Linked DNA regions of Arabidopsis thaliana. Each later gene encodes a partner of the first gene's protein in a complex. Each region holds a gene or a part of one and is shown on either strand. Other genes may lie near its edges.

The links.
Region 2: AT5G27650 (region 1) and FVE share a complex: the UniProt entries of both Arabidopsis thaliana proteins name them as parts of the PRC2 (polycomb repressive complex 2) complex.
Region 3: AT5G27650 (region 1) and AT3G09670 share a complex: the UniProt entries of both Arabidopsis thaliana proteins name them as parts of the PRC2 (polycomb repressive complex 2) complex.
Region 4: AT5G27650 (region 1) and AT5G02950 share a complex: the UniProt entries of both Arabidopsis thaliana proteins name them as parts of the PRC2 (polycomb repressive complex 2) complex.

Annotation. Positions count from the first base shown.
Region 1 is NC_003076.8:9,783,780-9,789,887, forward strand, and holds AT5G27650 (Tudor/PWWP/MBT superfamily protein), read left to right. Parts: upstream 1-1,627; 5' UTR 1,628-1,731; coding exon 1,732-2,881; intron 2,882-3,246; coding exon 3,247-5,315; 3' UTR 5,316-5,575; downstream 5,576-6,108. Other genes in the region: TIF3B1 (translation initiation factor 3B1), read right to left, coding at 61-285, 383-620, 871-980. UniProt on the Arabidopsis thaliana protein: Together with PDP2, PDP3 and PDP6, interacts with MSI4/FVE and MSI5 to suppress FLC, MAF4 and MAF5 expression by regulating the function of the PRC2 complex and modulating H3K27me3 level, thereby promoting flowering.
Region 2 is NC_003071.7:8,453,906-8,460,186, forward strand, and holds FVE (Transducin family protein / WD-40 repeat family protein), read left to right. Parts: upstream 1-1,850; 5' UTR 1,851-2,100; coding exon 2,101-2,384; intron 2,385-2,739; coding exon 2,740-2,803; intron 2,804-2,896; coding exon 2,897-2,983; intron 2,984-3,092; coding exon 3,093-3,155; intron 3,156-3,328; coding exon 3,329-3,394; intron 3,395-3,538; coding exon 3,539-3,613; intron 3,614-3,750; coding exon 3,751-3,826; intron 3,827-3,899; coding exon 3,900-4,095; intron 4,096-4,205; coding exon 4,206-4,287; intron 4,288-4,367; coding exon 4,368-4,441; intron 4,442-4,515; coding exon 4,516-4,627; intron 4,628-4,712; coding exon 4,713-4,787; intron 4,788-4,891; coding exon 4,892-4,959; intron 4,960-5,043; coding exon 5,044-5,143; intron 5,144-5,228; coding exon 5,229-5,330; 3' UTR 5,331-5,737; downstream 5,738-6,281. UniProt on the Arabidopsis thaliana protein: Core histone-binding subunit that may target chromatin assembly factors, chromatin remodeling factors and histone deacetylases to their histone substrates in a manner that is regulated by nucleosomal DNA.
Region 3 is NC_003074.8:2,964,540-2,969,595, forward strand, and holds AT3G09670 (Tudor/PWWP/MBT superfamily protein), read left to right. Parts: upstream 1-1,661; 5' UTR 1,662-1,974; exon of another isoform or gene 1,975-1,981; intron 1,982-2,076; 5' UTR 2,077-2,097; coding exon 2,098-4,278; 3' UTR 4,279-4,519; downstream 4,520-5,056. Other genes in the region: MCM8 (minichromosome maintenance 8), read right to left, coding at 262-425, 520-742, 829-946, 1,020-1,163, 1,430-1,627; AT3G09680 (Ribosomal protein S12/S23 family protein), read right to left, coding at 4,658-4,798, 4,881-5,007. UniProt on the Arabidopsis thaliana protein: Together with PDP1, PDP3 and PDP6, interacts with MSI4/FVE and MSI5 to suppress FLC, MAF4 and MAF5 expression by regulating the function of the PRC2 complex and modulating H3K27me3 level, thereby promoting flowering.
Region 4 is NC_003076.8:689,164-693,638, reverse strand, and holds AT5G02950 (Tudor/PWWP/MBT superfamily protein), read right to left. Parts: upstream 2,955-4,475; 5' UTR 2,831-2,954; exon of another isoform or gene 2,708-2,830; 5' UTR 2,687-2,707; coding exon 788-2,686; 3' UTR 540-787; downstream 1-539. Other genes in the region: AT5G02960 (Ribosomal protein S12/S23 family protein), read left to right, coding at 4-130, 219-359; AT5G02940 (ion channel POLLUX-like protein, putative (DUF1012)), read left to right, coding at 3,965-4,050. UniProt on the Arabidopsis thaliana protein: May influence gene expression by regulating the function of the PRC2 complex and modulating H3K27me3 level.

The DNA.
Region 1 (6,108 bases):
AAGTTATTCAAAGAAAATTATTCAAGGTACAGGGAGTAACATGATGAAAACTACACATACCCCAGGGACGTAGGGCCTGGCCTGAGGAGGCTCCCACTCCTCCTTCACATTCATCAACCTGTCAAAATCATCGAACATGTTTACAGCAAAGATGTGAGACTTGTCCAACTTGTAGCCATGAGACTTTTCCTTAGCGTTTTGTGCTTCCTGCAAAGAGCCCCAGACATTGAGAGAAACTCTTAGGAAATACTCAACCATTAAGAACAACCTAGTTTGGGCTCCTTTCTAACAAGAGAAATAAAGTATTGAAACATATGACGCCGACATTATTGCTTCAGAATCCAACAAAACAGAGATTAAGCTAATCAAGTAGATAAATAACCTGAGGAGTGTTGAACTCAATAAAACAGTAGCCCAATGTCATCTTGGTATCGGGATCAACAGGCATCCACAGTCCATTTTCCTTAATCACACCTAACTGGTTGTAAATTTTCTTGACAACACCTTCAAGTTTCTCAAACTTCTCCTTGGGAACAACAGGGAGGTGATCGACCACGATAATGTTACCGAATCCAGTGTCGAATTCAGACTGGTCATCCTGGTAAACAGCTTCATCATCACTACAACCATCACAGAAAAAAAAAGTGTATAACGAATCAGTTCCATTTTTCATACGTTCATAGATAAAATGTATAAATATAATAAGCTTTGCACCATCAAGGAAAGAGATAAACCAATTCGAAATACACAAAATTTTCATACATACAATAGCAAAACCTAGAATAAAATCATCCCATCGTATAAACACAAGAAGATTAGAAATAGAAGTGACCGTATATGAACAACCAGAGATCTAAAGGAAAATCTCACCTCTCGATCCCAAAGTCTTCTCCAGGAGGAAGTTGGATGGAATCAAAATTAACCTGAGACCAATCAATCCCTAACTTAGCAGCTCGGGCATCAATATCAACGACCTCCATGATTTCAAACCTTATATCAAAAATCTGCCAAAGAAAGCCATATAGAGAGAGCTATCAGTCTTTAACACATTCCAACTTTAAGTCGATAAATAAATGTGAAAAATCTGAGTCTTTAGATCTAAAAGTAGGTTTTTTGTTAACCCTAAACAAGTATTAAAACAACAAACTACCATGGCCAAATGTTCAAAGACTAAAACTTTGAATCATCACTCCCACTATAATGTAAATCTAAAACCATGCCTATAGAAATTATTAACTATACTCTAGTTTTATTTAATCTAGAACCCAACAACAGGTGAAATGGAGAAAAATGGCAAAATTTTCCTGAAGGCTCTCTTATATCTATTGCATCGTTCTGGATCCTGTCTCATAGCTACATAAGAAAAGACAAAAAAAACAAATGAACACTGAAATCGAGATAAGAAACGTACCCAATACAGAGATCAGCCGAGAGCAAAAAACAAAGAAGAAGACGGCGCTTGAAGGTGAGGAAGAAGGAGCGATTGTTTTCAGGTCTTTTTGGATCATACGACGTCGGTTCCTTAAACGGGCTTATAAATATTTATATGGGCCGGGTAAGCCCAATTCAATAGTAATCAGTAGATCTAATTTATTGTCTTTCTCTCGATTAGCTTTTTTTTTTTTTTAACAATAATCCGTCTCTTTCATTTGGTGTCCTCGAGAACCAAATTCGGATAATCTCTCATCGGAGGATCGTTGTTGTTGTTGCTAGGGTTCTTATCGATTTGTAATGTACAAAACTAAATTAATCCCGGTGATGAACGAGGATGCTGTGATTGTTCAACAAACGGATTCGATTCAGGATCCTAAGGTAACTCCAGATGATACTGTAGTTGATTCGAGCGGGGATGTTCACGAAGCCATTGATGATGATGTTGAAGCTTCTTCACCTATGGAGCTAGATTCGGCGGTTACAAATGACGCTAGGGTTCTCGAAAGTGAGAGATCGGAGAAAGATGGTGTCGTAGGGAGTGAGGAGGAAGATGAGATTAAAAGCGAGGATGTTTTAATTGATAAGGATGATGAGAGTTCTGAGGTTAAAGAAGAAGAAGAAGAAGAAGATGGCTCTGATGATCAATCTAGTGAGCTTGGTTCTGAAGCTGATGAGAAGGAATTAGATTTGGGTTTGAAGGAAGAGAAAAAAGGAGTTTCGGATTATAAATCTCTTTTATCTGAGTTTGATGATTATGTTGCAAGTGAGAAAATGGGTTCTGGAGTTTCGAGGGCATTGAGTTATGGGTTTGAAGTTGGAGATTTGGTTTGGGGAAAGGTAAAGTCTCATCCTTGGTGGCCTGGTCATATATTCAATGAAGCTTTTGCGTCTCCTTCTGTTCGTCGTATGAGGAGGATTGATCATGTTCTTGTTGCGTTTTTCGGTGATAGTAGTTATGGTTGGTTTGATCCTGCTGAGCTTATTCCTTTCGAACCGAATTTAGAGGAGAAATCACAGCAGACGGTTTCGAAGCATTTTGTGAGAGCTGTGGAGGAAGCCAAGGATGAGGCGAGTAGAAGGTCAGCTCTTGGTTTGACTTGTAAATGTCGGAATCCTTATAACTTTAGGCCTAGTAATGTGGAAGATTACTTTGCTGTTGATGTGCCTGATTACGAGCTTCAAGCCGTTTACTCTGTTGATCAGATTAAGAATTCTAGGGATAAGTTTTTACCCGCTGAAACCATTTCGTTTGTGAAGCAATTGGCGTTAGCACCTCAAGAGTGTGATCCAGACAGTTTAAAGTTTATGAAGAAGAAAGCAGTGGTTTTTGCTTTCCGCAAGTCAGTGTTTGAGGAGTTTGATGAAACTTATGCACAGGCCTTTGGGACAAAATCACCCCGCAGTTCAGTGAGTACGCTGGAACCTCATAATAGAGCACCGCCTCGAGGTATTAGCCACTTTTCAGAAAATCATGTTATTGTTTGTATATGGGTTTTTTCGTTGTAGACTTGAAACAGCTTTCATATGTGTTACATAGATATTAGATACTGTAACTTGGTTTTAGGGTTTTACTTTTAGATCCTCTGTGCTCATGATTTTAGGATTTATATCTTTGTAGTTGAATTCTTTACATAGCATGCTTGAAAGAATAGTGAAGTCTCATTGATGCTAAACTGTGCATTCGAAAACGTGGCCTGATAACAATTCTGCGCCTCTTTCTACTATGGAGAGTCCCGCATACATTTACCTTGTTTGCTTTATTGTTCATTTTCTTGGTGGGTGATGTGTTGTTTCAATTTCTCTTATTTCCAGCTCCCTTGAGTGGCCCACTGGTCATAGCAGAAACGCTAGGTGACCTTAAGAGCTCTAAAAAACCCACAAAGGTTAAGGTCTCTAAAAAAAAAGACAAGTATCTTCTCAAACGAAGGGATGAAGCTGGTGATAAGTCTGTTCAGTTTGGCGAAATTGAAGCAAGTTCAGAAGCTTCTCATATCCAGGGAATTGATGGATCTTTGGATGGGGATTTTGGGCTGCAGAGAAGAGCTCCGACGCTTCAAACTCCAATGAAAGATGAGAAGTCTGGGATCGTCAGCATGGATTTTGCCTCTTCAAATACAGCTATTCCTGGTAAAGAATTTTCAGCTTCAAAGCCCTCTCTTGATGAAGAAAAGGGTCTAGCTGAAAAATCAAAGGAGAGAATGGAAGAAAGAGCTGCTGTACTTCCAGAGCATGGGAAATCTGAAGCTATGGCGAGTCTTAAACCTAAAGAAGAAGCTGGAACAGATCTTGGATCAGCTGGAAGTTCTCTCCAGCCTCTGCTTGAGTCTCATACCTCAGCATCTGAGGGGAAAAGTTCCACAGGGTCTGTAATCAAGAAAGTCAAAGTTGCTAAACGATCTTCAAGTGAAATGAGCTCGGAGAATCCTCCTTCAGAGCCAAAAAAGAAAAAGAAAAAGAAGAAAGAGCCTGATTCTGACCATCCAGTGAAGAGAAAAAATTTGTATTCTGGGGAAGCTGGGGCCAAGAAATTGTCCCAGCTTGGTTCAGCGCATTTACAAACCTATATGGAAGCCGATGTGCCGCAGCTGTTGAGCCATCTGCAAGATCTCTCTCTTGACCCTTTCCACGGTTTATCCGTTGCTTCTTTTGGAACTGCTAGGAAATTTTTTCTCCGTTTCCGTTCACTTAATTACCAGAAAAGCTTGTCTGTATCTTCCTCTGATGCTACTGTCGAAAATGCCAGAGACACAAAACCCTCAAAACCTGTCAAGACAGTGAAGAGAACCGAAGACCCATCAAAAGCTGGAAAAAAACGGCTCTCTTCTGATCGTCAAGATGAAATCCCATCAGCTAAGAAGCTGAAGAAAACTAATCAGTTGAAATCAATGGCTTCTGAAAAGAAGATCATTCGAGAAGCAAAGGATAGTATAAAACCAATAAGAGAGCCAAGCAGGGTGGTACAAGCAAAACCAGCCAGAGGTCAAACCGGGAAGAAAACAGCTCCATCAGTTAAGGTGGTTGAGCCAACAATGCTGGTCATGAAATTCCCACCTGGCACATCTCTCCCTTCAGCCGCATTGCTAAAGGCGAGGTTTGGTCGCTTCGGGCTGTTAGATCAATCCGCCATTAGGGTTTTCTGGAAATCATCGACCTGCCGTGTTGTCTTTCTGTACAAAGCCGATGCCCAGACTGCTTTTCGATATGCAACAGGAAACAACACTCTATTTGGAAACGTGAATGTAAAGTACTTTCTCCGTGATGTGGATGCTCCTAAAGCCGAGCCTCGTGAGCCAGAAAACACCAAGGAAGATGATGAACCACAGAGCCAGTGGTTGGACCAAGCACCACCGCTTCACCAACCAACATTACCGCCACCAAACGTCAACCTCAAATCCTGTTTGAAGAAACCAGTTGATGACCCGAGCAGTAGTAGCAACAATGGAAACGGTAACCGCGCAGCCGTAAGAGTCAAATTCATGTTAGGTGGTGAAGAAAACTCGAGTAAAGCAAACACCGAGCCACCACAGGTCACAATGACCTTGAATAGAAACAGTGGACCTTCTTCATCATCATCATCTGTTCCAATGGAATTTGTTAGTAAGAAGTTTCAAAACGTTGTTCATCATCAACAGCTTCCTCCTTCTACATTGCCTCCAATTCTTCCTCTCCCTCCACAATACACAAAACCACAACAACTTCCCATTAAACCAGTAGACCACGTCGAACCACCAATGCCACCTTCAAGAAACTTCCGTGGCCCGATCCCAGCGGTTAGCGCTGGGGACATCTCTCACCAGATGCTCAACCTTTTGTCAAAATGCAACGAAGTAGTGGCTAACGTCACGGGCTTATTGGGCTACGTCCCTTATCATCCCTTGTAACAAAACGAAGCCCGTTGAGAGAAAATGTGAGTGTTTGTTTGGTTTTTGGTGATAATATTGTATGTTAGGTATTAGTTTGGTTCGTTAACTTTAAATCATGTATTACAATTTATAATGATGAATCTCTCTCCCTCTCCCTCTCCCAGGCTTGTTTTATATTTCGTGTATTATTTTTTGAAGTTGTATGCTTTTGATATTTGATGCACTATGCGGAACCAATTCCATTGTTGTGTTACGTTATATATTCTCATTTGGTCTTAATCTACTTGGTGTAAATTTAGGCCTGCCCAAAATGGCTGAGCAAAGTTGAAAATTAAAGCTATAGGAAGAAATTGTGATTACAGTAAAAAAAATATAAAATTTTGATCTTATTCAAAAAAAAGGTAATTTTTATTACCTCTCTTTAAGTTCAATACAACAACATCGACATGGATATTGGATTGTGAAGGCGAAAGAGAGAGAGAGAAAGAGATGGCACGACTTGGTACCAAATACGAGTCGAACTCTTGTCCTGAAGTGTAGAGGCCTAAACCAGTACACAACCAACTGGACAAGGTTAGATTTGGTGGAAAGCCTGCCTGTTGGTATTACTTTATTCGCAAAAAACGAACATTAATTTTAAATGAATATAATTTGCTACGTCTCACTTTTTAGTTCCGTTATAAAGTGGTCGAGAAAGGAACCATGAGACCAAAAATGAAACCAAAATAAAGAAATTCAAATGAAGCTAAAATCCTATTTCAACACATTTGGTTGAATATCGTGAAGTTTCCATTACAAAACTGTCTCAGTC
Region 2 (6,281 bases), on another chromosome or scaffold:
TTTTAAAAATACGAGAACTTCTCGTTTCTTGTTCTAAGTAAAATAACATTCCAATATAGAATTAGGGTTTAGTTGCCTTTGGAAAATTGCTTTGTAAAAAGCTAGATATTATGTTTCGTTTAGTATATCTTTGACTCATGATATTTGACATTTGATTAAAAATCATGTTTGCCTTACATGCATAATATCTTAAATGCTTGTATCACATGTCTCTAACTACCACGAAAAACTTTGTGTATAAAAAATTCAAATCTTTAATTTTTGGACGACAAATTCATTAGCGTTACTAATTTCATTGTACCTATCAGTTTTATGACGATAATAATACAATTTATTTCGTCCCAAAAAAAATAATATTTATTTATTAAGTTAATAGGAAAATAGGTGTAAATATACAAATATGTATATGTAATATGCAATTAGAGAATATATGAAACACCACTATACTATCAACATTAATATTAGTAAGATGAGAAACATAAATTAGATGATTTGAGTCAATATTTTTCCCTAGTAATCTTAGTAATAGTTTTTTTTTTCTTTTATTTGCATAGTTCATATACATATTTGTATACATATATGTTGTGCAGATCTAAAATTTTTGTTTAATACCTATTTTGCACCTCTACCAAATAAATTGTGTTAGAATTTTAAAAAATTCATAATCACAACAAAATTTCTAACACTATTTAATTTGTTGATCATAAAAAATCTGAATTTTTATGCACAAAACGTTTCTTAATAGTCAAAACTAGTGATATAAGAAGTGCAATGCCAAGAATTATAGAGATTTGAAGCGAAATTTTAAAATGACATGATTATACATAACTTTTAAGTTCTAAACTATAATCATAATAAAAAAAATTAAGATATTAAATAGAGCGAACAGACGTTTAGGTTTTTTTCGGATTTACCATATTCATCAGATTAATCCATGCTGGATTGAGAAAAAGCCTCAAGCTTGGAACAACTACATGTAAATCATAACCTCGAGATATTTTAAGGCTTTCAATGTCCCAAAGAAAGTTATTTGGTGTCGAATCCATGAGTGAAAATTGAGCTTTTCACATAGAACAAAGAGGGATATGAAATAGTACAATTTTATGTTTTAAATAAAGAAGATAAAATGAAAGGTAAATTTTATAGGTTTAGCCAGCAGAGAACAAATGAAATGAATGTTTTAAGTTTAGACACCAAGAACAAACTTAGGGTTCAAGTCTAAGCTTAGTCATATACTTCTGAACAATATTGGACTTTATTGTTCAAGTATTAAACAAACATTGAAATCTTCTTAAATCACTTTTCAAAATGCAACGAGGATCTATTCTTTTTTTTTTTTTCAGAAGAAGCTACAAGAAAGAACAACAAGTTTGGATATGAATTATAAAGTTAGTAATCCATGTAAGAGACGCTTATATTAATTAATTTATACTGTTAATTATTTCATCCGTAATTTTTATTATTATTCAATAAAGTATTTATTTTACTGAATTAAAAAATAATAATTATGGGTGTTTGGATATTCGGTCGGGTATTTTGGGTTTGAGTTTTTCGGGTTTAGAATTTTAAGATCCGTTCGAGTAATTCAAGATTCCGGGTCGGGTTTGGTTCGGTTTCGGGTTTAGTTATATATTGAAATATCAAAATTTTGTGTCCGAATCTATTAAATTATTTGAAAATTTCAAAAATTCCCTAAACAACCCGAGTAGTTTTGCTTGAATATATTTAAAAATACATAAAAGTAACTAAAATATCCGAAAAATCATAATATTGTCTATATGTAAATATAAATATAAATATTTTAGTTATATTTATATTTAAGATATGTTTGGGTACCAGTTCGGGTTCGGGTTTTTCAGGTTTTGAAGTTTAGATTCAGTCGGATATTTGAAAATTTCAGGTTCGAATTTAGATTGGGATTTTTGGATTGGGATTTTTGGATCGGGTTCAGATCGGTTTTTTCGGATTCAGGTATTATGTCCAAAGTAAAAATGGTAAACGGTGGTTGTTTTGTTTGTATTTGTAAAGCAGAAGAGAGAGAGATATAGAGACACTGAAAGCAAAGACCAAAAAAGAAAAATTAAAAAGAGAGAGAGGAAAATGGAGAGCGACGAAGCAGCAGCAGTGTCTCCTCAAGCAACGACACCGAGCGGAGGAACCGGAGCTTCTGGGCCGAAGAAGAGAGGTCGGAAACCTAAAACCAAGGAAGATTCTCAGACGCCGTCGTCTCAGCAACAGAGCGATGTTAAAATGAAAGAAAGTGGGAAGAAAACGCAGCAGTCGCCGAGTGTTGACGAGAAGTACTCTCAGTGGAAAGGTCTCGTCCCCATTCTCTACGACTGGCTCGCTAACCATAACCTCGTCTGGCCTTCACTCTCTTGCAGGTCTCCCCCTTTCTCCTTTCCTCTCCTTCTAGGGTTTCGTTTCGTAATCGTTTCTTAGCTTTGAACATTCTCATGTTTGGAATGAATTTAGTAAAATCTTACACATACATTTTCTCGATTTCTGGGTTTAAGTGAGATTGTTGCGATTGTTCTAGTTAGGGTTTTGGATGTGGCTCTGTCTTCATACCTTGATATATCTGATGTTCTATTCATGAATTGTTACTATTGATTACCTTGTTGGTTACTAATGACTAAGAGGAATTTTCAGTTTCTCTGAGTGTTTATATCTGATGAAGTCTTTAGTTGTTGTGCTAAGAGTTTCCATTTGGTGAATTGTTGTTTGATTTTTTTATAGATGGGGTCCGCAGCTTGAGCAAGCAACCTACAAGAATCGCCAGCGTCTGTACCTCTCAGAGCAAGTAAGTTTTTAGCTTTCTCTTGTATCTTGTTGTCTCATCTTCTTTATATACTTCTCATCGTATTATTTGTATTTTTCTTGGTTGTGTCACCAGACTGATGGAAGTGTGCCCAATACTTTGGTCATAGCAAATTGTGAAGTTGTTAAGCCAAGGGTTGCTGCAGCAGAGCACATTTCTCAGGTATTATGTGGTTTAATACTAAGCTTGTGTCCTTTCCATATCCTACTCCACACTACAATTGGTTTCATGTTTGACACTTATATACTATCTTCTGAAAATGTGTTCTCAGTTCAATGAAGAAGCACGTTCTCCATTTGTGAAGAAGTACAAGACCATCATTCACCCTGGAGAGGTGTGAATTCTGCCCACTCTTGAGATATTTCTGTATTGACATTGTTCTTTTTAGTTCTATTTGGTTTGTTAATTGTATCTGCATCCCTGTTTCATCTGTCCATGAAGTTATTCGTTTGGCACGTTGGTGAAAGTAAATTTTGATGTGTATTCATTACTAATTTGCAATTGCAGGTTAACAGAATCAGGGAACTCCCACAGAATAGTAAGATTGTTGCTACTCACACCGACAGTCCTGATGTGAGTGCTGCTTCTATTTTGTTATGGTCATAGCAACTTGAAATATGTCGGTTTCATATTTCTGTATTTGGCAGTCAAAGAGCATCCTTTGTTCGGACATATGTCCAGTTTCAGAGTTATCTAAATACAATATGTTGATTTCAGGTTCTCATTTGGGATGTTGAAACCCAACCAAACCGTCATGCTGTGCTTGGAGCTGCAAATTCCCGTCCAGATTTGGTATGTCCACTTCTGAGAATGTTGTTTTATGCTTTATTCTTGTTTGTTTCTCATCATTGGAAGTGATAAATCTCTTTGATATCTTCTTAAATAGTGCTTCTTGTTTGCATCATCTGAATGAACCATTTTTCATGCAGATACTAACTGGGCACCAAGATAATGCTGAATTTGCTCTTGCCATGTGCCCAACGGAACCCTTTGTGCTCTCCGGAGGTTTGTGTTTCTGTAATTTGTAGAGTCCAATCCTGTGGTTTGCCAGTTTCTCATACAAAAGTTCTTCTCTTAGGCAAGGACAAGTCAGTTGTTTTGTGGAGTATCCAAGATCACATCACAACGATTGGGACAGATTCCAAATCATCTGGATCTATCATCAAACAGACTGGTGAAGGTACTGATAAGAATGAGAGTCCTACTGTTGGCCCACGAGGTGTATATCATGGCCATGAAGATACAGTTGAAGATGTGGCATTCAGCCCGACGAGGTAACTTCTTAGAACAGACTCCTTCTATTGATATCGTGTTTGTTTATGCATACTGCAGATATTTTCATGATTTTCTAATAATACTTCTGGTGAACTTTTATACCGTGAAGTGCACAAGAATTCTGCAGTGTTGGTGATGATTCTTGCCTTATACTATGGGATGCGAGAACTGGCACAAACCCTGTCACGAAGGTACTCTATCTTTTGAATCCTATCAAAAGTTTGAAGATTTACCTCCTTTTGATATTATATCTTACTTTTTTGTTTTCCAGGTTGAAAAAGCGCATGATGCTGATCTTCATTGTGTTGATTGGAATCCTCATGACGACAATCTGATCCTGACAGGGTATGGAGAAATACATACAAATAGATGATTAATACATACTTAGTATCTAATTAAGAAATTGATGAATATTTCAGGTCAGCAGACAACACTGTCCGGTTGTTTGATCGTAGGAAGCTTACCGCTAATGGAGTTGGTTCGCCTATTTACAAATTTGAGGGACACAAAGCTGCTGTTCTTTGTGTTCAGGTATAATCAACTTTTTTTTTTTTTTTCCTTCTTTGTATGAAGTATATCTCTTAACCCACTGACACTATCTTGTTATTCAATTCAGTGGTCTCCTGATAAGTCATCCGTCTTTGGGAGCTCTGCAGAAGATGGTCTCTTGAACATCTGGGATTATGACAGGGTGTGTACATAGTTCACTCAGATGTCTAAAATTAATCTTTCTTCACTATCATCACTGAAACATATTCATTGTACTCATGTTTGGTTTGTTTAATTAACCATCAGGTCAGTAAGAAGTCTGATCGTGCAGCTAAAAGCCCCGCTGGGCTCTTCTTCCAGCATGCTGGTCACAGGTTCTTAAAGACTTATCTTGATTTTTCTTGATTGCTTTCTCATTTTACTTGCTTCTAAGTTCCCTTGTTTATAAACCATATTAGGGACAAAGTTGTTGATTTCCACTGGAATGCTTCAGACCCTTGGACTATTGTCAGTGTTTCTGATGACTGTGAGACTACTGGTGGAGGTGGAACATTGCAGGTAACCTTGAAATCTTTCTTGGTACCTTGATAAGCAATTTTATTGACATACCGTTAAATGTTGTTTATACTTTCTTCTATGGCAGATATGGCGGATGAGTGACTTGATTTACAGACCAGAAGAAGAAGTCGTGGCAGAATTGGAGAAGTTCAAGTCGCATGTTATGACTTGTGCCTCCAAGCCTTAAGAGTAAAGAAAACCCATTGTCTATCTATCTATCGCCTATGGTAAACTAATGCGGGTTTTAGCGAGGAGTCTTGGTTTTTGTAAGGCTGGTTTGTCTTTTGAGATATTGGTGGTAGCTTTTAGGACCTTTCCATATCAGTTAGGGGTACATGGTTCTGGTTCATGATCCTGTTTCATCAGACTCTTAGGTGCTGTTTTGTTCAACTGAGATGTTAATCAAATCGGACCAACTTTATGTGTTTTGGTTTAAGGTTTCAATACTTGGCCTGAACCTAATGATTCCTTCTCTGTAACTAGTCGAGACCAACCCGGCTACAAAAAAAATAGTTGCATTGATGTTCAAATGCAAAGCAGAAGGGGTCATTATAAAACAATATAGTAATAAGCATCGCAAAATTTGGAAACTGGGTTCTTGATGATTCGTCGCATCTTAAATAATGTTTGCATTGTCGTTTTCATTAGAAAAAAACTGTTAATCACGCTTAGCAGTAGGATTAGGTGATTTTCAATTCACAGATTTATTCGTAGGATTTTGAAGAAATTTTAAGTATTAACAGTCACTAAACAATCAGACCATTGCAAATCATACATAGATCACCTGGTCATTTCATAAAACTAAACTATATGATAATGTTTTACTTTATTGGGCTTAACGTTAATGGTCCTCCCGCTTAATAGGCTTTATGAAGTCTCTTGATGAGCTAGAGACTTTAAAAATCCAATCACAAAGCCTACATGAGACCGTCAAGATCAGTCAGAGAAGATCAAACGAAGAAGTTTTTGTTCCAAAAGATACTAAAGAGAGAAACATGAATCAATGTATTGCTTGAGGAATAAGGTAGGGAAGCTAATCAATCACAAGTAGACGAATCGGAGTATTTCATAAAATTAGGGTTTTTAGACCTACATTTTCTTTTCTTTTTCCGACGATACTTAAATTGCTCGAGAAACT
Region 3 (5,056 bases), on another chromosome or scaffold:
GTATGGCTTAATACCAGTAATGAGGCTTCTAGCTCCTTGATCTTTGGTAAAATGTCAATATGAGTAAAACAAACAACTTAGCAGTGCTCTATTTTACTTTCCTGCAATGAGATTCCCAAAAACCATGGAAGAGAACTTTAAGAGACAAATTTCCAGCTATTCTACGGGTAAGGATAGCAGGCGTTTGGGCATGTTAATGTTTGCAAATTATGGACACAACAAGGATGGAGAGAACTCCATGAAAAGTTATAAAATCAATACCTCCCCCAATGTCCATGTAATTATTAATTACTCCTATAATCCCTGTAACTGTCACCACATCACCAGGGATACATATGTCCACAAGGTCTTCCATCAGCTCACATTCTACAGTTCTGGGTACCCGTCCTTCTTCGTGGTCTTCAGGCTTTTGCAATTCCTGTACCCTAAAATGCATTTGGACAGCTGGTTAACAATGGTCAGATACATAACTAACAAGGATGAAGTACACAAAATGATGAGACGCAAATAGGAGAACACCTGATTTTCTGAAAATCAATTGTCTGAGCAGAGGACCGGATTGGAGTAAACGTTTTGGACTTGCATCCATGGGAATCACATTTTAGTGGAGGAGAAAACTTTCCATCAGTAAATTCCCGGGTTATGCCAGTTTTGCACTTTCCACAGTCAAAAGCCATCTGTGTGACAAGGGGTTTCACAGTACTAACTTTAACAACAGTCCCATGAACGGTTACAAGCTTTCCTGCAATTTCAAAAGCACACACTCATGCTATGTCTCACTTAAGGTTTTACATCTTATTATTTATTTCGCTAGATGAGACAGTCTACCAATATAAGCTGCTCTCAGGTTTTTCAGGGAGATAGAAGATTCAGGATAATTATGCAGACGAACATTGATCTTCATAACATTCTCAAACTCATTAGTCTCCCATTGATCAAAAAGAACCTGTGAGAGATGACATAAGTCTTCATCTTATGCCAACCAAGAAAACAAACCCCAATGAAAAGTAATAGCATACCTTGTGAACAGCAGCATTCATACATGGGATAACTCCTTTAGGATTATCCTCTAGATTTATGAAAAAGTTCTCGATATCAGATATTTTCTTGAATTGTTGGAGATCAAGAGACAAAGAGAAGGAACCACCACCGTCTTCATTCACCTGGCTCAAGCCATGGAATAAACTTATAAACTGTTTCTCCTATTTTTAGATACTAAGAAGAACTAATTGACGCATAGAGAAGTTGATTAATCGTTTTCTATCTACCCTAATTCTTCATAGAAGTAGAGTGGAAACGAAATCTAGCTAAATAGATTACAATTTCATAACCGGAATTTAATTTCGAAATCAAGCTATACCAAGCTTTATAAAATTCAGATTTATAAACTTTTTACCAGAAATTTGATGATGGCCAAGTGAGGATGTACCTGAGAAACTATGTCTCTACCAGGTGATGCGGAGAATACGCGGATGAGCTCCGCCGTGAGCTGCAACTTATCCTCGTCGATGGCCAAATTCTCGTTGTCCTTGATGTATACAGCTAATATTTTCCCGATGCCGAGAGAATCAATTCCTGTTGATTCAGGGCGACCCGATGCCATGCTTCCACCACCGTAAAATCCCATCACCGCTTAACCCACTGTAACTCGCTCGTCGTCAGTCGCAGAGAAAAATCTCGCTTAGGCCAATGGGTTTTGGCGGGAAAAAGGTAAAGGGCTTTTTGTGATGGGTTTTTGGTAAGTGGGCCAAATGATTGAACCCTAAAACCCAAAGATAACCAAAAGAAAGGATAAAATCAATTAATAAAGCTTTAGTTGTCCGCCACGTGGACTGAACCGCACAAAAATTCACAACAACAAAAAAAAAACGAGAAACCCGTTTCTGGTTCGATTTGACGTCTTCGTTTACTTCATTTCTATAAACGAGCTCCCGCCGCCGGAAAATTCGCTGTTCATCACCACCGTGACCAGAGGTTTGTTGTGAGCACCTTCTCTATCTTTCTTTCTTCACCTGTAGGTTCTGTTATATGTTTTGTTGGGAAATGAACTGAAGAAAATTTCTGATGATTTTCTAGGGTTTTGTTTTGGTACTGCTTATGTCGACGGAATCAGAACGTATTGAATCAGTCTCAGAGGCTAATGCGTCGAGTTTAGAGGTCGGAAATGATCAAATGTCTGAAGCCCTAGCTGGTCAAGCTCAGGAGCTGAAAACAATTGGAGATGATAAAGAAGGATGCGGCAACTTTGCTTCAGCTGGTGATAATGGGATGGAGAAAGTAAATGGATTTACTAATCTTGTTAAGGAAACGGAATCTGTAAATGGAGAGTTAGATCTAGGCACTAGAACCGAAAATGTAGGTGGAGAGAGTAACCAAAGTGACAAGAAGGTTCTAGTAGATAGCGAAGAGGTCATGATGGTAGAGAAAAGGGGGCTTCTTGTTGAGAAGGAAGTGGAACCTGACATGGTCTGTTCTCATGGCGCTGATCTCAGTGATGTGAAGGTTTCTGATGGCAGACTGGATAGTGAAGACCTTGTTCAGGATAGAAAACCCGATGGCTTAGAAAAGCAAGGAACAAAAGTTGAGGACTTGGATGTTGTATGTTTTATGGGTTTAGAACCGCATGAGAGCAAGGATGAGAGTATTTTGGATGATGAAATTGCCCATGTAGCTGCGAAGGTGAAGATCTCTGACTCAGATTTGGTTTGGGCTAAAGTAAGGAGCCATCCGTGGTGGCCTGGACAGGTGTTTGATGCCTCGGCTGCAACAGACAAGGCGAAGAAGCATTTCAAGAAAGGAAGTTTCTTAGTAACTTATTTTGGAGATTGCACCTTTGCTTGGAATGAGGCGTCACGGATTAAGCCTTTTCGACAGCATTTCTCCCAAATGGCAAAGCAGAGTAGTCTACCTGATTTTATTGATGCTATTGATTTTGCGTTAGAAGAGGTATCAAGAAGGATAGAGTTTGGTTTAGCTTGTTCTTGTATCTCAGAGGAAGTCTATCAGAAGATCAAGACTCAGAATGTAATCAATCCTGGAATCCGAGAAGATTCAAGCTCAATACACGGTGGAGACAAGGTCTCAAGTGCAGTCTTCTTTGAACCTGCAAACCTTGTGGGATATGTGAAGCGTTTAGCATGCTCTCCTAGCTATGATGCTACTGATGCGCTGCAGCTTGTAAGTCAGAGAGCACAGTTATTAGCTTTTAATCGCTGGAAAGGCTATACTGACCTCCCCGAGTTTATGACACTCCAGGGGTCAGTAGAGTCTGCACCCAAGATTTCTCCTGCAGAAGAGCAAAGTAGCTTAGTGGAAGTTTCTGATCCTGAACCAACAAAGAGTAAACAAGTTTATACTAAAAGAAGAAAGACAAACCTGCAAACAGAGCAAAGTAGCTTAGTTGAAGTTTCTGATCCTGATAAAGGTGACTGTAAACACGATGGAGTGTTTGAATATGAAGAAACTATTGTTCCAAAGAAAAAGGAGAAAACTTTGGCAGAGTTCATTGCTGAGAAACGCGTAAGCAGACATAATGGGAACACATCACATGAAAAGTCTGGTAATGTTCCGCATTGCGAAAAGAAACGCAAGGTTGTGCAGTCAAAAGTTCCCAAGTCCACGAAAAAGATTAAGGCAAACCTGCAAACAGAGGATCCAGGATCTCCAGTTTCTCCCAAAAATGATCGAAAAAATAATTTGTCTGCTGGTGATAAGATTACACCACAGAAAGCTAGAAAAAGTTTCGGAATTGGGGCAAGCATATTGAAAGTGGCAAACCAGATGCATTGTTCAACACCAACCAGACTCTTACCTTGCAGTGATTCGACCTCCAAAAAGGCAGCCAAGAGCAATGGCAGTGGAAAGAGTCTTCAGGAGAAACCTAAAGCCGAAGCATTATCAGCAAGAGAAATTTCTCCTTCAACTACACTTTCAAGCCCTCACGCTGCTTCTGTTACCAAAACCACAAGTGGGAAATCCAATTCTGTCAGCCTAGACCACAACCTATCCGGAGAACTTGATCAGGTCAGAAAGGAAGCTCCTAGTACTAACCTTGTGGAGGACCCGATGTTGGAGTCTAGAGACTTGAAAGACTCTTCTAAGGAGCAGGTCGTACATGAGGATAAGAAAGAAGCTGCAAATGTAGCGGATGAGAAATCTATTATGGACAGCAATCTAACCGGGGAGAAAATCAGTGGCTTGGACTTGAGAGAGCAGCCGAGTAACAAGAACTGCTCTGGTGGATCTGATAGTTGCAAGGAAGATGTTTCTGCAGAGTAGGAAGGCTCAGCATCAGCGTCTAACCCACTAATACAGATCTTTCTAAAATCGAGTCCGGTTCTTGTTAGTACCCAAGAGTGGAATATACCTTTTAGATGGATTCTCTTCTCTTTCAAAGTTTAGAATTGTATGATTTAATCAGAGTTGAACAAACACTAGTGAGAGAATGTAACAAAGTTATTTTTGTTTTTCCAGATTTGTGCAATTTAATGGTCAATAATTCATTTGAATCCAAAACTAATTATGAATTTGAATAAATAAATTAGAATCCAAACAAAATTAACCTCAACTCGGAGGAAAATAGAATAAGAGATGTCACTGAATAAGTACATAGACATGCCTTCAAATATCAAAAAAAATTCATAAAATGTAGTAGAGCTCAAGACCTAGGCTTCTCCTTCTTTTCCTTGAAAAGGGCCAAGAGTGAGACACCAGAGACCTTCACCACTTTGAACCTAACTCCGGGAATATCTCCGACGGCATGACCTTTACGCCCAAATCCAGCAATCAACACCTCGTCCTACACACAGTATCAATGAATGAGTAATTGGTAAGAATATAATTTGATTACTCATTCAAAAGTAGATGTCAATCTAACTTACATTTTCTTCAATGTAGTTCAAACAACCATCATTGGGGACAAAGGCAGCAATCTTTTTACCATTCTTGATCAACTGAACTCTAGCACACTTACGGATAGCAGAGTTAGGCTGCTTAGCCTCAATACCACTGCATAATCAAACACAGAGTCTCATCAAAGTCAAGATCTATACTACTA
Region 4 (4,475 bases), 9.1 Mb from region 1:
CAGTGGTATTGAGGCTAAGCAGCCTAACTCTGCTATCCGTAAGTGTGCTAGAGTTCAGCTTATCAAGAATGGAAAGAAGATTGCTGCCTTTGTCCCCAATGATGGTTGTTTGAACTACATCGAGGAAAACGTAAGTCACATGAAATGACTATTCAATCATCACACTATGGATTAGTTTCATTCATATGCTGATACATTTCTTGTTTATGGTGTTGCAGGATGAGGTCTTGATTGCTGGATTTGGTCGTAAGGGTCACGCTGTGGGAGATATTCCCGGAGTTAGGTTCAAGGTCGTGAAGGTTTCTGGTGTTTCACTCTTGGCCCTCTTCAAGGAAAAGAAGGAGAAGCCAAGATCTTAAGCAACCCGTACAAAAAGCTTCAAGCTTTTGATATGGTTTTTGATAGTTCAGTTTAAGTCTTGTTCTGTTCTACTTTATGTTTCAAGAACTTGATTTTGTGTTACATTTTATGAGTTTTTGAATTAAGACATGATCGTTTAATGTTATTGGTGTTTAATCAATTTACTCTTTTAACTTATAAGCCTCATCTTCAGTTGCGACTAACTTTACTGTTATCATTGGTATTTCCAGTTTTGGTTTTGTATGTCATAAAGTTAAGAATTAGTCTCATCACACGAATGTTACTTTTATTTATCGAAAACCTACTCTCATCATAAATCCTAGGTTACGTTTATTTATCGAAAATCTACTCTCATCATAAGACCTAGCTGATGATATCTGATCAGACCCTAATCTCTGAAAGTTAAGAGATGCCGTGACTCAATCAGTCATGTTGTTTTTTTCCGTTTGGGGCAAACATACTCGAGTCTGTAACTTAGAAGAGAAGGTCCAAAGATGCTGTATTTCCCTGCGCTGCTAAAGGCAGTCTTTGCGTCTTCCCCTCTTTTGAACACAACTTTGGCTCTCTTACCCTTCATCGTGACCTTAGTCTTAGACTCATGGAGAGGACCGTAACGTTTAAATATCTCGTTCAGCTTTTCTTCAGATGGAACCGAACCTGAATCCGCAAAGTTGAGGACTAAAGCATAGGGTGGTAATGAATCTGCAGAACAGTCCTTGAGACCAATTTGCTCTTTCGAGCCTGAGCCAGTGATTTCTTTATTTGCAGGTAATATCTCTTCTTCTGCAGAGTCTTTCTTATCACAAGGTTCTGATGTCTCAGTGATACTTGCCTTCTTTGAGTCACCATTGAGTTTACTGCAAAACAGTTCATTAATGAACTTTTCAAAATCTTCATAATTCGAGGGGTCTATGTTGATTGAATCAGGTATTCCCGTTGAGGTATTGGCAGCGTGAAGGCTTGAGAGCATCTCATCAGGAGAAGAAATCTTTCTTTCAGCAAGCTCTTGATGTCTCGGCTTCTTAGTCTTCTCATTCTCAACTTCCGTAGATTTAGAAGCACGGCAAGGCTTAAGTGTAGGAGTTAAAGAATTCATCTCATTTTCCACTCCAGTTCCATGACACGGTTCAGCCGTCTTCTGCAGTTTATTAGTATCACCCACTGACAAAAGACTTTCCTCATTAGAGTGTTTAGACACTGAATCCTCCTTTTGCTGACTTTTCTTGATCCTTTTCTCAGACTTACCAGATTCCGAAGACTCAACCTTACGCTTCTTTTCAGAATGCGACTTACCATCCAATTTCTCAGTTGATCTGCTCCCACAGCGTTTCTTTACAGTCAAATCTGACAAAGTCTTCTCCTTTGTCTGTTCAGCATTATCTTTATAATCTGTCTTTCTCTTTTTGGCAGATATTCCTTCATCCATATTTACTTCTGGGAGAGAAGCCAGGGTCGCAGCAGATTCCACCGACCTTACAAATGTTTCATAGTCAATGAAGTGAGAATAGTCTTTCCATTGTTGAAAAGCCAATACCTGAGCTCGGTTAATCACAAATTGCAGCTTCTCAGTCGCATCATAGCAAGGAAAGCAAGCTAAATGCTTCATATAATCCACAAGTTTAGCAGGTTCAAAAGAGATTCCATCCGATAACTTGTCTCCACCGTATCTAACACTTGAGTCCTCACGAATTCCAGCATTGATTATGTTCTGAGTCTTGAGTTTGTTATAGGCTTCCTCTGAAACACAAGAGCAAGATAAACCAAACTCTACTCTCCTTGAAACCTCATCCAAAGCACAATCAATAGCATCACGAAACTCAGCGGAGTTACTCTGCTCCTGCATTTGAGAGAAATTCTGATGAAAAGGCTTTATCTGAGATGCATTATTCCAAGCAAATGTACAATCCCCAAAATACGCAACCAAGACATTTCCTTTCTTGAAGTGCCTCATCGCAGCTTTAGAGGCAACAGATTTATCAAAGACCAGTCCAGGCCACCATGGATAACTTCTTAGTTTAGCCCAAACCAAATCTGAGTCAAAAAGCTTCAGATTCTCTTTAGAAAATCCTTTCTTATCCTTGTTCTTAAGCAGATCTGAATCAGCATCAAAATCAACCCCGTTACAGAGACTATCCTTATCATCACGAGCAGAGACAAATACTTTTCGCTCAACTCCAGTGAGGTTCACTACCAAGTCCTGAGCTTGAAAGCTCATGGGATCAGCTAGGGTTTCAGATGTGTGAGCCATACCGTAGTCAAAACTCGACGCATTTATGGCAAAATCAGCGTTGGAGTCAGATTCGACTCCTTCTGGTTCCGTAGACATAACGAGCACCAACAAAAATCCCTAGACAACGAAGAAACAAAAAAAAGCAGAAATTGCTTCAGTATATGCTTCCATTAAAGCAAAAACAGTACATCATACGAGAGACGAAGAAAATAATCGGAGAGCAAAAAAGGTGGACAGAACCTCCGGTGGCGGTTACGGTTTCGCCGGCGACGAAAGCTTAGATTTTGGGTAATGAAGAAATAACAGAGTTTCTTTCGTTTTGAGGGGGTTTATGAGAGAGCTACGTGTACGTCACGAATTATTCCACGTGGCAGTACTTGATTTTGTCTCGACTCATCACAACCATACATTATTACATTGAGTGAGGTTCAAAATTTTCAAACTTTTGCTTTTCCCTCTTTATTTGAACTTGAATTTGACTTGTTTTTACTGATATTAAATAGAATAGAATTTTACTACAAGTAGATTAGAATTTTACTACAACTAGTTTATTTCTAAAGAATTAAATTTGTTAATTTTATGTTTAATGAGAACCAAATGTTTTCCTACAACATTAAGACACTTTTTTATAAGTTTTCTAAACTTGTTTAATAGTATGTTTTACTAAAAAGTGATATTTTGAAAAACCTCTTTTGGGGATATTTTTAAATACTCCTCATAGACTAACAAAATAATATATCAATTCATATATAAACACAATAACACCGTTTATTGTGTAAAGTGCTTAGCTCTCTCAATGGTCAAAAAATGCAAAATCCATTTTCTTGTTATGTCTTTGTCATTTTTATTGTTATGTCATGTGGCGTCTCAACATTGAGAGGATATTTTGGGAGCCAGTAACGTTCGAGATTCAAAATTGTGGATGAGATTTTAACGATTGAAACAAAAGTACTAAAAAATAGTCGTTTATTAGCACATGTACTCTTTTTTTTGTTTGGACAGCTATTAGCACATGTACTCTTATATGTATGTATGTATATAAAAACGTGAATAGTGAGTGGAATAAGAGAAAGTAGTTAAAATTCAAAGCGATAAGAGTACCATTTTGTTTTTATTATATTCTATTCTATGGACGCGATTCCTCTGCGTTGTTTACCTATTCAAATGAAGTTCTAAGCCAAAAAAAAAATTAGTCGATTTGTTTTTATGTTCATAACACCCCACGGGCTAACTAATATGGTCCAAAACAATATAACAACAACAAAATAATCACGCAAAAATCTAAAAAACCAGCCTTGTGTCCATACTCCACCCACATATATAAGGAGAGAAACAAAAAGAGCGTAAGATAAATCAAGGAGAAGATTAAGAAAGATGGTGGCTGTTCAGTTGTTTACCTGGAAGCCATTGATTCTACCTTCTCAAGCTTTGACAAGAGATCGATTAGCTTCTTTTCACAGGTTTTGTTTTTGTAATTTCTTTCTTATACTTGATATTTCTGAAAACAATTGCATGGTGGTGACTTTATCCATAAGTGATAAGATGATGATTGTGAAGTTTGTGATCCTCAGAAGATTTTGAGTGTTTTTGTTAGAAACAAGCTCTTTATTTCCAAACAACTGATACAGATACTTAAAGAACACGGTATTTATCATTTAAGCGATCAATACTAAGTAACTCCTCTCAACAAATTCTATATTCTAAAAGAAATGCCAATGCCTCTGTTTATTTCTGTGTCTTCTCTTCTTTTCTTTATAATCCGAACCCTCTAGTTCCGTCAGCGTCTTCTTCGTCCTTATCTTCAAAACTTGCTTGGGCATATATCACAGTTTATTTTTGTTGTTTCTTCTTCCGGTGAATTTTACTTCATGTTTTGCTTACAGTA